Oryctolagus cuniculus: one gene and its partners. The protein of the gene in region 3 purifies or fractionates together with the protein of the main gene of each other region. This does not show direct contact. Links are inferred from orthologs where the notes say so. Each region holds a gene or a part of one and is shown on either strand. Other genes may lie near its edges. The genes, in order: CLTC, CLTCL1 and CLTA.

The links.
Region 1: the proteins of CLTA (region 3) and CLTC purify together in Homo sapiens (co-immunoprecipitation; 6 studies listed by BioGRID and IntAct, with this or other methods). This does not show direct contact. The link is inferred for Oryctolagus cuniculus from reciprocal best matches to the Homo sapiens genes CLTA and CLTC.
Region 2: the proteins of CLTA (region 3) and CLTCL1 purify together in Homo sapiens (co-immunoprecipitation; 3 studies listed by BioGRID and IntAct, with this or other methods). This does not show direct contact. The link is inferred for Oryctolagus cuniculus from reciprocal best matches to the Homo sapiens genes CLTA and CLTCL1.

The regions. Positions count from the first base shown.
Region 1 is NC_091448.1:34,977,343-34,980,989, forward strand, and holds part of CLTC (clathrin heavy chain 1), read left to right. Parts: intron 1-710; coding exon 711-856; intron 857-2,302; coding exon 2,303-2,486; intron 2,487-2,680; coding exon 2,681-2,873; intron 2,874-3,290; coding exon 3,291-3,448; intron 3,449-3,647. UniProt on the Homo sapiens protein: Clathrin is the major protein of the polyhedral coat of coated pits and vesicles. Two different adapter protein complexes link the clathrin lattice either to the plasma membrane or to the trans-Golgi network.
Region 2 is NC_091452.1:27,014,742-27,018,388, reverse strand, and holds part of CLTCL1 (clathrin heavy chain 2), read left to right. Parts: intron 1-426; coding exon 427-564; intron 565-3,501; coding exon 3,502-3,647. UniProt on the Homo sapiens protein: Clathrin is the major protein of the polyhedral coat of coated pits and vesicles. Two different adapter protein complexes link the clathrin lattice either to the plasma membrane or to the trans-Golgi network.
Region 3 is NC_091432.1:199,050,351-199,054,585, forward strand, and holds the start of CLTA (clathrin light chain A), read left to right. Parts: upstream 1-1,321; 5' UTR 1,322-1,464; coding exon 1,465-1,681; intron 1,682-4,235. UniProt on the Homo sapiens protein: Clathrin is the major protein of the polyhedral coat of coated pits and vesicles.

The DNA of each region.
Region 1 (3,647 bases), on a different chromosome or scaffold from region 3:
TTCCTCCTGGTCTCCCATGCAGTGCAGGCACCCAAGCACTTGGGCCATCCTCCACTACCCTTCCTGGGCCACAGCAGAGAGCTGGACTGGAAGAGGAGCAACCGGGACTAGAACTCAGCGCCTGTATGGGATGGATTAGCCAAGTGAGCCATGGCGCCGGCCCCAAAATATTTTTAAATTCCTAAAACTTGAGAGTTGTTATAATTGTTAAATTCTCTTGATAAAGATATAAGTAAAATATTTGGGAAAAGCACAGATTAAAAGCTATTAATTATTCATTCCTTTCATAGGATCCATTTCCAAGGAACATTCCAAAGTAGATCAAAAGCTTCCTGGAAGTGATATTTATTATAGCATCTGAGAACTATGCAAATAGCCAGGAATAGAGCAATTACTGACTTTAAAATACCATACCTATGAAGCTGAATTATATGCAGCCATTAAAGTGATGATGATGATGAATGTTAGTATAGATAATGTATGAATTAGGGAAAAGACAAAAAGTTACAGTTAGAGTGATTTTTTTCAGCAGAGTAGAATTACATATAATGTACATTCATGTACTGTGGTGAGTTTAAATGTGTTTTTCCTATTTCATTCTTTACTACATGTTTCAAGCTTTCCAGTAAGAGGCCAAGTTATTCTTATTAGGTAATGTTTTTTAAGACTGTCTTGAGTTTTAGTACTTATTCCTTATATATGCTCGGTAGGTTGTGCAGACAGCTTTGTCAGAAACTCAAGACCCTGAAGAAGTGTCAGTAACTGTTAAGGCTTTCATGACTGCAGACCTTCCTAATGAACTCATTGAACTGCTGGAGAAAATTGTCCTTGATAACTCTGTATTCAGTGAACACAGGTATGCAATCAGAAGATCCATTGCTATTATGTTCACCCTTTAATTATGATCTGTCAGTTTGGGAAAGGAACAGAGACCAAGATTAGAGAAGGTTGCTTAAATTTGCTCTCTTGTAATATTCCCTTCTCACCCCACTATAGTCATAATGGTTATTCTTTACTACAAATAAGTTTTCTAAATACTGCTTTTAAACGTCTTCCTCCCTCTCCTCTACCCTTTTCTTCCCTCTTTATCATGCATCCTTTCCTTTCCTTAGTTCACTCTCCTTTTTCTTGTGTAAAACCCTATGTTGTAGCATCAGCTAGAGCCTGGATCCTCTGCACAGTCACTGTGGTGTGAGTCTTTACAAGATGGTCCATGAATTCCTGATGGGGAGATTTGGTGAATACAATGTGTTTCTAGAGGCAGGGGGGTCAACAAGTTGTAGGTCTTGGAGATGTCATCAAAGGTGGTCTTGGCAAAGTTGCCCATGATAGCATTGCAGCCTCTGGCTGAGGTGTAGGAGTCATCAATGGCAGCCATCAGCAGCAGCATCTTGGGGGCGGGGGCCCAGATGATGTCAGTGTCTCTGGGGCAGCAATAACACATAACAGCACAGAGCCTTAGCGTTCAATCACCTGGCAAGGCATGGTATGGGTCTTGCTCACCTGTTTCCCTATTAGCTTCTTTGCACTGGCACAGTGGAGACCTTGGCCAGGATGATGGTTCTTTGAATGACATTGGCTACCTCTTTGGGACACTTGACACCCCAGCTGACCTGGCCATTGTTGTACACAGTGGCAACAAATACCTTGAACCTGATCTACTGGTCAGTGTGTATCTGCTTTTGCCCTGGCATAATTTTTTTTTTTTTTTAAGATTTCATTTGTTTACTTGAAAGAGTTACAGAAAGGCAGAGAGAGAGAGAGAGTGGTCTTCCATCCGCTGGTTCACTTCCCAGATGGCTGCAGTGGCTGGAGCTGCGCCAATCTGAAGCCAGGAGCCTGGATGTTCTTCTGGGTCTCCCAAGGACTTGGGCCATCTTCTACTCCTTTCCCAGGCCATAGCAGAGAGCTGGATCAGAAGTGGAGCAGCTGGGACTCGAACTGGCACCCATATGGGATGCTGGCATTGCAGGCGGGGGCTCTACCCACTACGCCACAGTGTTGGCCCTGCCCTAGCATAATCTTTAAAACTTCATCCTTGAGGGATGGCCTGGGGAAAACTCGGTGATCTCAAATTCTTTGTGAGCAAGAGAAATACATAGATGGCCTCCAGGGACTTGATCTTCATGTCTTTTACCAGGCAGCCCAGCTTGGTAACAGGGAGGCACTCAGTGTCCTCGGCCTTGCCTCTATGAGCTTTGCAGCTCCCATTCCAGAGCCTCTGGACCCTCCTACTGCACCCTTGTCTTCTGCCATTTGATATTCTCTTAGAGAAGAAGCTGAATGTCTTTCTTTCTTAAAGGAATTTGCAAAATCTCCTCATTCTCACTGCAATTAAGGCTGACCGTACACGTGTTATGGAGTATATTAACCGCCTGGATAATTATGATGCTCCAGATATTGCCAATATTGCCATCAGCAATGAGCTCTTTGAAGAAGCATTTGCTATTTTCCGGAAATTTGATGTCAATACTTCAGCAGTGCAGGTATATCTTCAGATTCTATGTAAATTGAATTAATGTAATGCCTTGTTTTTATTCAGAGCATGCATTGACCTATGAGGTTGGGCTTAACTAATTACTGTGGAGTAGAAAGGCAATACAGTGCTAACAGCCTAAATGTAATTGCTTTGGTTAAGACCCGTTTTACTGTAAATATAATTTAAAAATGGATTGCCTAGGTCTTGATTGAACATATTGGAAACTTGGACCGGGCATATGAGTTTGCTGAACGCTGCAATGAACCTGCGGTCTGGAGTCAACTTGCAAAAGCCCAGTTGCAGAAAGGAATGGTGAAAGAAGCCATTGATTCTTACATTAAAGCTGATGATCCTTCATCATACATGGAAGTCGTTCAGGCTGCCAATACTAGTGGTATGACTTGTTACCTTGATGTGCTTGAGACCTCAGAAAATGATCATGCTAAGCATTTCCTTTCAACTAGGAATTGAATTCTGAAAAACTTACATCCTTCCATCTTAGTCCAGCTAAAGACAGGCTGCATTTCATGAACTTAAAGATATGTGACGAAGATTAATTTTCTGTTTTGTAGTCTACAAGTTCTCATCTTACAACCGTAAATGAAAAAGCAATTCAGTTGTTTATTTGGTCAGTGATAATACAGATATTTAATAGCATATTTGAAATTTTAGATGCATTGCATGGTTCACATTTGTTATTCTCTGTAATGTTTCCTTTAAAAGGCAATTTAGAGCAATTCTCATTTACTTGGGTGATAAAATATGCTAGGATGCTAGTGTTCGGATTTATTTTTTCTTTTTCTGTACTTAGGAAACTGGGAAGAGCTGGTGAAGTACTTGCAGATGGCCCGTAAAAAGGCCCGAGAGTCTTATGTGGAGACGGAGTTGATATTTGCACTGGCCAAAACTAACCGTCTCGCGGAGTTAGAAGAGTTCATCAATGGGCCAAACAATGCTCACATCCAGCAAGTGGGTTTCCTGTTCATACATTCTTCCCAGTCTTTATTTACTTATTATTTATTAGAGAATTCTAAACTGTTTATTCTCCATAAGCCCACAGTAGCCAGGACCCCAATTGTTTGAGCTATCACTACTGTTTCCTAGGTTTACCTTAGTGGGAAGCTGGACTCAGGAGCCAGAGCTAGATATTGTTCCCAAATTCTCTAAC
Region 2 (3,647 bases), on a different chromosome or scaffold from region 3:
AAAGGCCTGGAACTCCATCCAGGTCTCCCACTTGGGTGGCAGGGGCCCAAGCATTGAGCCATCTTCCACTGATTTCCCAGGTGCATTAGCAGGGAACTGGATTGAAAGCAGAGTGGCCAGGACTCAAACCAGTTCTCCAAGATGGGAGGCGCACGTCACAGGCAGTGGCTTAACCCACTGCGCCACAGCACCTGTCCCATCCAGTTTTAACCCTTGATGACATTTTGTATTTTAGTGTTTTTAAATTACACAGTTACTGTTTACATTAATAATGCTCATGAATTACATGAATTTTGATGACCTAGGAATATGCAATGGAAGAAAACAGTTGTTGAGTTTCTAAAAGGGGTTCTATTTCAGGACCTATTTCAGTAGGAAAAATGGAGACTTTGCTCTGGGTGAAAATGTGTCTTGGATCTGTTTCAGATTGTGGACATTTTCATGGAAAACAGCTTAATTCAGCAGTGTACTTCCTTCTTGCTGGATGCCTTGAAGAACAATCAGCCAGCTGAGGGGCATCTGCAGACGCGGCTGTTGGAGATGAACCTGATTCACGCACCCCAGGCAAGTGACACTTGTAGGCCCACGCCGAGGGGCAGAGCACCCGGGGCACCTCTGTGCAGTGGGCCTGGGTGCAGATGGCTGTGTGCTGGGTTGCACTCCTGCCAGAGGTTTGTTTGTTTCATTATGGTGATATAGACGTCACAGTTTACCTATTTAACAGTTTTAAGTATATATTCAGTGGCATCAAGAACACCCCCATGATTATGCGACCATTACTGCTATACGTTTCCCAGACAAGAACTGTGTAACATTTGAGCAAGAATTCCCTGTTCCCTCCTGCCCCAAGCCCCTGGCCACCACAGCTGTGCTGCTCTTGGTCTCTGTGAATTTGCCTGTCCCAGGTACTTCCCATAAATGAAATCGTAAAATGTTTATCCTTGTATCGTTTTTTCACTTAACATATTTTTTAAAGATTTATTTATTTATTTGAAAGGCAGAGTTACAGAGAGAGAGATCTTCCATCTGCTAGTTCACTCCCCAATTGGCCACAACGGCTGTAGCTGTGCCGATACAAAGCCAGAAGCCAGGAGCTTCCTCCCAATCTTCCCATGCAGGTGCAGGGGTCCAAGGACTTGGGCCATCTTCTACTGCTTTCCCAGGCCAAGCAGAGAGCTGGATCAGAAATGGAGCAGCTGGGACTTGAACTGGTACCCGTATGGGATGCTGGCACTAAAGATGGCGGCTTTACCCACTACGCCACAGCATTGACCCCTTATTTTCCTTTTTTAAAAAATAAGAGGCATTTTTGGGCTGGCGCTGTGGTGTAGCAGGTAAAGCCACTGCCTGCAGTGGGGAGGGTCCTGGCTTCTGGCTCTGATCAGCGCAGCTCTGGCCATTGTGGCCAGTTGGGGAGTGAGCCAGTGGGTGGAACACACCTCTTTCTCTCTGCTTCTTCTCTCTCTGTGTAACTCTTTGAAATAATAAAATAAATCTTATTTTATTTATTTGAAAGGCAGTTACAGAGAGGTAGAGGCAGAGAGAGAGAGAGGTCTTCTATCTGTTGGTTCACTTCCCAAATGGCCCCAACAGCCAGAACTGTGCCGATCCATAGCCAGGATCCAGGAGCTTCTTCTGGGTCTTTCACGTGGGTGCAGGAGCCCAAGGACTTGGGCCGTCTTCTGCTGCTTTCCCAGGCCACAGCAGAGAGCTGGATCGGAAGTGGAGCAGCCGGGACTCGAACCAGTGCCCATATACAATGCTGGCAATGCAGGCAGTGGCTTTACCTGCTAGACCACAACACTGGCCCCTTTGATTTTTTTTGAAAGATTTTTTATTTACTTGAAAGGCAGAGTTAGAGAGAGATCTTCCATCCTCTGATTCACTCCCCAAATGGCCACAATGGCCAGAGCTGGCTGGTCTGAAGCCAGGAGCTTCCTCTAGGCCTCCCACATGGGTGTAGGGACCCAAGGACTTGGGCCATCCTCCCTTGCTCTCCCAGGCACATTAGCAGGGAAGTGGATCGGAGGTGGAACAGCCAGGACTCGAACCGTTGCCTACATAGGATGCCAGTATCATAGGCAGTGGCTTAACCCTCTGCTGCACAGCACTGGTCCATATATATATATATATATATATGTATGTATATATATGTGTGTATATATATATATGTATGTGTGTGTGTATATATATATGTGTGTATATATATATATATATATAAATACACACACTCATACATGCCAGTTTTTAGCAAATGAAGTTTGAAACCAAAGCGAAGAGGACTCAGGAACTCCACAGACAGACCCTAGGGAATGCCAGTGCCACAGGCGGGCAGCCTGTCCGGCAGGCAGCTAGACACAGTGCCTGGGTTGTTGGGGTTGTCCTCTCTGGATGAGAGGCACTGGAGATGCCCTCTGCCTTTGCTTTTCTGTGTTTTCTGAGTTCTCTAAAACACACCATGGCTCTGATAAGGAACAGGTGTTTGGAAGGGAGATGAATGAGGACCTATGGAAGGAAGCCAAGGTCAAGGGCACAGACAAGTGCTGTTTGTGCCCCAGCTTTTCTCTCAGGACTTGGTGTGCATCGTGTGCTCCGTGGGGAGCCCAGGATATGTGCAGCCCTGGTACAGTGTGGTGCAGGCTGCATCTGAGGTTGCTGTGTATGTGACTGGTCCCACACTGGGCTGCTGTTCTCCCAGCCTGGAAGACATAGGAAACAGTGTGCTGGACGGCAGGTAGGGGCTATGCCTCCTCCAGGCTGGCTCCTGGGTGCTGGGTGGAGGTGCTGGGTCTTATTATTCAAGGGTCAGAGAAACAGAGCTCCCATCCACTGGCTCCACTCCTTCACCAGCCAAGTAACTGCAATGGAACAGGACTGGACTGGGCTGATGTCAGGAACTGGAACTCATCCCCTGTTGCCTCCCAGGGTCTACATTAGCAGAAATCTGGAATCAGGAGCTAGAGAAAGGACTCAAATCCAGGCACTCCATTGTGGGATGCGGGCATCTTAATCAAACACCTGTTTTATTAAATGCAACCCCAAGTCCCTAAGTCTACCCTTAGGGAAGTCTGCTAAGCACAAGTGAGATTTGTTACTTCCAGACCTCACTGTCCCTAGTCTGAGTTTTGAGCTCCTCAGAGGAGGGTCTGACTCACACGTCAGTCTTACCGTAGAGAACCTTGCAGGAAAACAATCACCAGAAAGTCCCAAGAGCGACCAGGTCCATCCCAATCGTGGTGCCGTCTGGAGCCTTGGCCTCCCTCACACACGCAGTGCTCCGGCAACACATGAAGGGCCTCAGGTGCCTGGAAGGGAGCCAGGGCTCTGCTTGGGACCTGCCAGCGCTACTGCCACTGCCGCCCCTGGATTTGTGGACGTGGGCAGGAGCCCATGAGCGCTGGTTCCTGAGCTGTCCCTCACACTGGGGACATGGCTGAACGGTGGCTCTGCGGAGGTGACGGCCACAAAGCAGGCTTTCTTATGCTCTCACTGTTTTTGTAGGTTGCAGATGCCATCCTTGGAAATCAGATGTTTACGCATTATGATCGGGCCCACATTGGCCAGCTGTGTGAGAAGGCAGGCCTCCTGCAGCGGGCTCTGGAGCACTACACCGACCTCTATGACATCAAGAGGGCCGTGGTCCACAC
Region 3 (4,235 bases):
CAGTTCTCTGCTATGGCCTGGGAAAGCAGCAGAAGATGGCCTGGGTGCTTGGGCCCCTGCACCCACCTGGGAGACCCAGAGGAAGCTCCTGGCTCCTGGCTTTGGATTGGAACAGCTCTGGCCGTTGTGGCCATCTGGGGAGTGAACCAGCAGATGGATGACCTCTCTCTCTGCTCTCTGTAACCCTGCCTTTCAATAAATAAATCAAGAAATGTCTTTTTTTAAAAAATAAATAATTTTTAGGTAAATAGCTCTCTGTCAAAACACAGGTATTTATTTTTTTTAAAATCACCTTCTTGTCCCTTGCTGACTTCACTCTGGAGGCATCTCTGACCTCTAGTTGGTTTCTTTCTATTTTTGGCTTTTACTTTTTAGGGTGGTGGTGGTGTGGAGGATCTTTCTGTTGGCCACTCTTCAACATGAGCATGATGAACTGGGATCACTGTTGTTTCTACGGTGTTGACATTAGTCATGTTAGCAACCTGTCTCTGATGTAAAAGAAACGCTGAAAGAGCTTTCCTTCTAAAGAAAGCTCCTGCTGTCCTTAGCTGAGAAAGGTCCATACCAGAGGGTGTGGCTGGTACCCTCAGGGAAGTCCCCAAGAGACCTGGGTTTCCTCCTGGCCACTGGCTCCCTCCCAAACACCCAGGCCACAGTGTCCCCAAGAAGCAGGCCACCCTAAGGGATTTTCCAGTTTAGGAAAACGTCTGTCTTGCTCTGAAATGGTGCACTGGTTGCACAATGCTTTGCCAAGGATTTGTTCGTCTTTTAGTGAATACTTATGGAGGAGATCAATTGATCAGAGTGAATCAATTACATTTAAGTCAAGTCTGCCGTAAAGGAGCAAATTATGAATGAATTAAATATTTAAAAAAGATTTTTTTAAAAAGCCAGCAGCATAGATCCTAAAAAGGATTCCCTTTTCCGATAATCCCGGGAAGGAGGCAGCGCAGGATCCGTGTTCCATTTTACAAACGAGGAAACTGAGGTTCAGAAAACCTAAGTGGCTTATCTCTTCTGTGGCTGGCCAACTGCGGCCGGCCGAACGACCCCTCACCTTCCGGCGCAGCACTCCAGTCCCCTCAGAAGCGGCTGTTCCCGGACAGTCCAGCTCCCGAGGGCCGCGAGGAGTACGCCGCTTTCCGTCAGTCGGCACTTCCGCCTCCCTGGCCCGGGGGCTCACCTCCTTCACCTCCGAATCACGAGTTGTCGGCGGCGGCCCGCCCCTCCGACTGCTGATTGGGTAGCTCCGAAACCACTTTTGCCCTCTGATTGGCTGTTCTGTTTTCGGCTCTCCCACACCGCCAAGACCAACCGGATATAGGGGCAGGGCTTCCGCTTCCACCTCCTCCCTCCTCCCGCTGTGTTCCGATCGCAGTCGCCACCACAGCGGCCGCTGCCGGGCGCGGTGTCGGTGTGTCGGTTGGTTTATCTTTCAGTGTTGGTGCCGTTGAATTGCCCGCCATGGCTGAGCTAGATCCGTTCGGCACTCCCGCCGGTGCTCCTGGCGGTCCAGCGCTGGGGAACGGGCTGGCCGGAGCGGGCGAAGAAGATCCGGCCGCGGCCTTCTTGGCGCAGCAGGAGAGCGAGATTGCGGGCATCGAGAACGACGAGGCCTTCGCCATCCTGGACGGCGGCGCCCCCGGGCCTCAGCCGCACGGCGAGCCGCCGGGGGGTCCGGGTGAGAGGGCGGGCGCGTTTGCGGCGGGAGGACTTGCCGGGGAAACTCGGCCCGGAGTTGGGTCCGAGCACTTCCGTACGACTCGTGTTTCTTGCCAGGAGGCTGGGGCGGAGTGCAAAGAGGAAACGAGACCCCGGCCCAGTCATGCAGGAGCCTGGGCTCGGGAAGTCCGCTCCGTTCCGAGTGTGCGTGTGTGTGTGTGTGTGTGAGAGAGAGAGAGAGAGAGAGAGAGAGTGTGTGTGTGCTAGCGCTGCTGGGCGCCGGCCGAGCGAGAACGCAGAGAAAATCAAGTGACTGGGAGGCTTGCAGCCCCGGAGAAGCCCGTTCAATTCAGCAACTTTTAATTAAGCACTTGCTGTGCCTTAAGCCTGGTTTCTGAAGCCGCATTGGCGTACTCTCGCCAGACTCCCAGGCAAGTCTGAGCCCAGCACGGAACCTGTTATCAGGAAATGAGGGCAGGAAACCTAAGAATAGTAGTGTCTTTTTTGGAAACAAACAAGAATGGCAGTGCAGTTCAGCATTTAAGTACATAGGGCGTTGGGTTACGGGGAGGAAGGGAGGAGTGAGTAGGGAACCGAAGAAAGCAGGGCGAGAAAGCATGGAGAAAGAAACTCCGGTCAGGACTTCCGAGCTCCTCGGCTTCTGGGAGCAGCTTCGGTAGTTATTGCCTAAACAGAGCCCACGATTAAACCTGCACCAGCCAGGGAGGGAAGCAGAGGTGAACAGGCGACTGCTGTGTGGCCTCCACTCCCCCCCACCCCACCTCCCGGCCGAACAAATAAGAGTTGGGTGGGATGACAATTTGACCTTCGACTGCCTTAACCTGTGAAGTGCCTAGGATTGTGGTGTAGAAGCAGAGGGTGAATTGAAAAAAAAACAAACAAACTATTTAGTAGTATGGGGAAGAAGGAAATGAGTGGAGATGAGATATGGCTTTACCTTTCCTTGAAAAAATATTCCAGTAAAGGAGAGTAGGGCACTGTTGGCAAATGGGAGTGTTTCTGCTACCCGAAACCGAGACCTCTGAGGTCAGGCAGTCACCTAAAGAAGCAGGTGGGTGTGGGGCAGCCAGGGGCAAGCAGGTTGGCCTGAAGTGGGTTGTGACTGTGAGATAAAGTTGGCTTCCAGTGTTTGGGGGGGTATTTTGTCATTGCCTGAGAGTTTAAAATCGACCTTTGGCTTGCCTCCTCACTTACTAGAAAACTAAATCCTAGTGAAAAGTGACTTGCTTAAAAAAGGGCATCAGCTGGGCCCCAAGTCTCCCTCCCTTTAGATGGGACCGCCCCCTTACAGTGTTTTAGCTGGGGTGTGCTGGGGTCAGAGAGAGGCAGTTGTGGCTATAGGACCGAGCAGAGAGAAGCAGCACCCCTAGGAGACTCTCCTAGTTGAGGGACAGTGTAACTCTATTCCATCCCCATCACCCAGCCTGTTCCTGACACTGCTCGTGTACATAAAAACTGGCAAAGTGTTAGCTCCAAGAGTCCTATGTAAGCCAGCAGGAGTTGGTGCTGGGCAGTTTGGGAAGGTAAAAGGAGAGAATGCGGTCGGATATGTGAGTCTTGTACATCAGGCCTTCAGGAAAGGGAAGGAAGGGGTTGACTGCTGACTTAGTTCCTGGGAAGAACTTTATTAGGGAACTAAGCATTTAGTGACTTAAAGCCCTGACCATGCATTGAGATTGGTAAGAGTGCAGGGGTCAGCACTTCCTTTGGGAATTAGAGCAGGAGTTGGGCACTTTCTGTCTTTCAGAAACACTCTAGTGGTTACAGGTTTTGTACTTTCCACTGCTGCTTGAATGAGTTTAGGTTTGTTGTCTTAGGCAGTTTTTATGTAGTTAACCACTACATTTTCTGCATAATGTGTAGCACATTGCACTTATAGGATTACATTAAAGCATAGAGAGTGCTTGCTGGCATGTAGTAAGCATCCCTTGGCTTCTAGGTACTATTGCTCCCTGGGGGTAGGAGGAGAAAGCAGTTTGAGGCCTGTAGGCTTGGGGGTGTACTGAGGAAACCGAGTGATTATAGGTGGGAGGTCTCTGTCATGTGTCCTGTAGAAGATACATGGGCAATCGGCTGTAACAGATTGAGGAGAGAGGAAAATAGCTAAGCTTGCCCAGCCTTGGGGGAAAAGCTCCCATGGAGGATGGGCCTAGGTAGAAACCAGAGGAGTTAGGCCTGAGCCCTGGTTCACTCTTGAAATTAGGAGATTCAGAGAAGGAAATGTTGGGAAGCCAGAGATCAGCAGCTCAGTGAAGTGGCATGAGCAATATTGAGGAAGAACGTGTGGTCCGGAGGGAGGCAACCCAAGTCCAGCTGAGGTGGGAGAATGAGGCGGAGCAGGGAGCTGTAGAAAGAGCATATCACTGTGGTGCTGTCTGTTATGTTTCTGACAAGTGCTTAGGGAAGGAAAAAGAAGAGAAGTAGGTGAATTAGTCTTGCTGGAAGAGGGTAATTTTACTGGTAGCAGTGCTAGAGAGTTGTTTAGAGAGATCTCACACATGACATAATTATACAGCACATTTACTGTGTGCCTGGAACTCCATATACTTGAC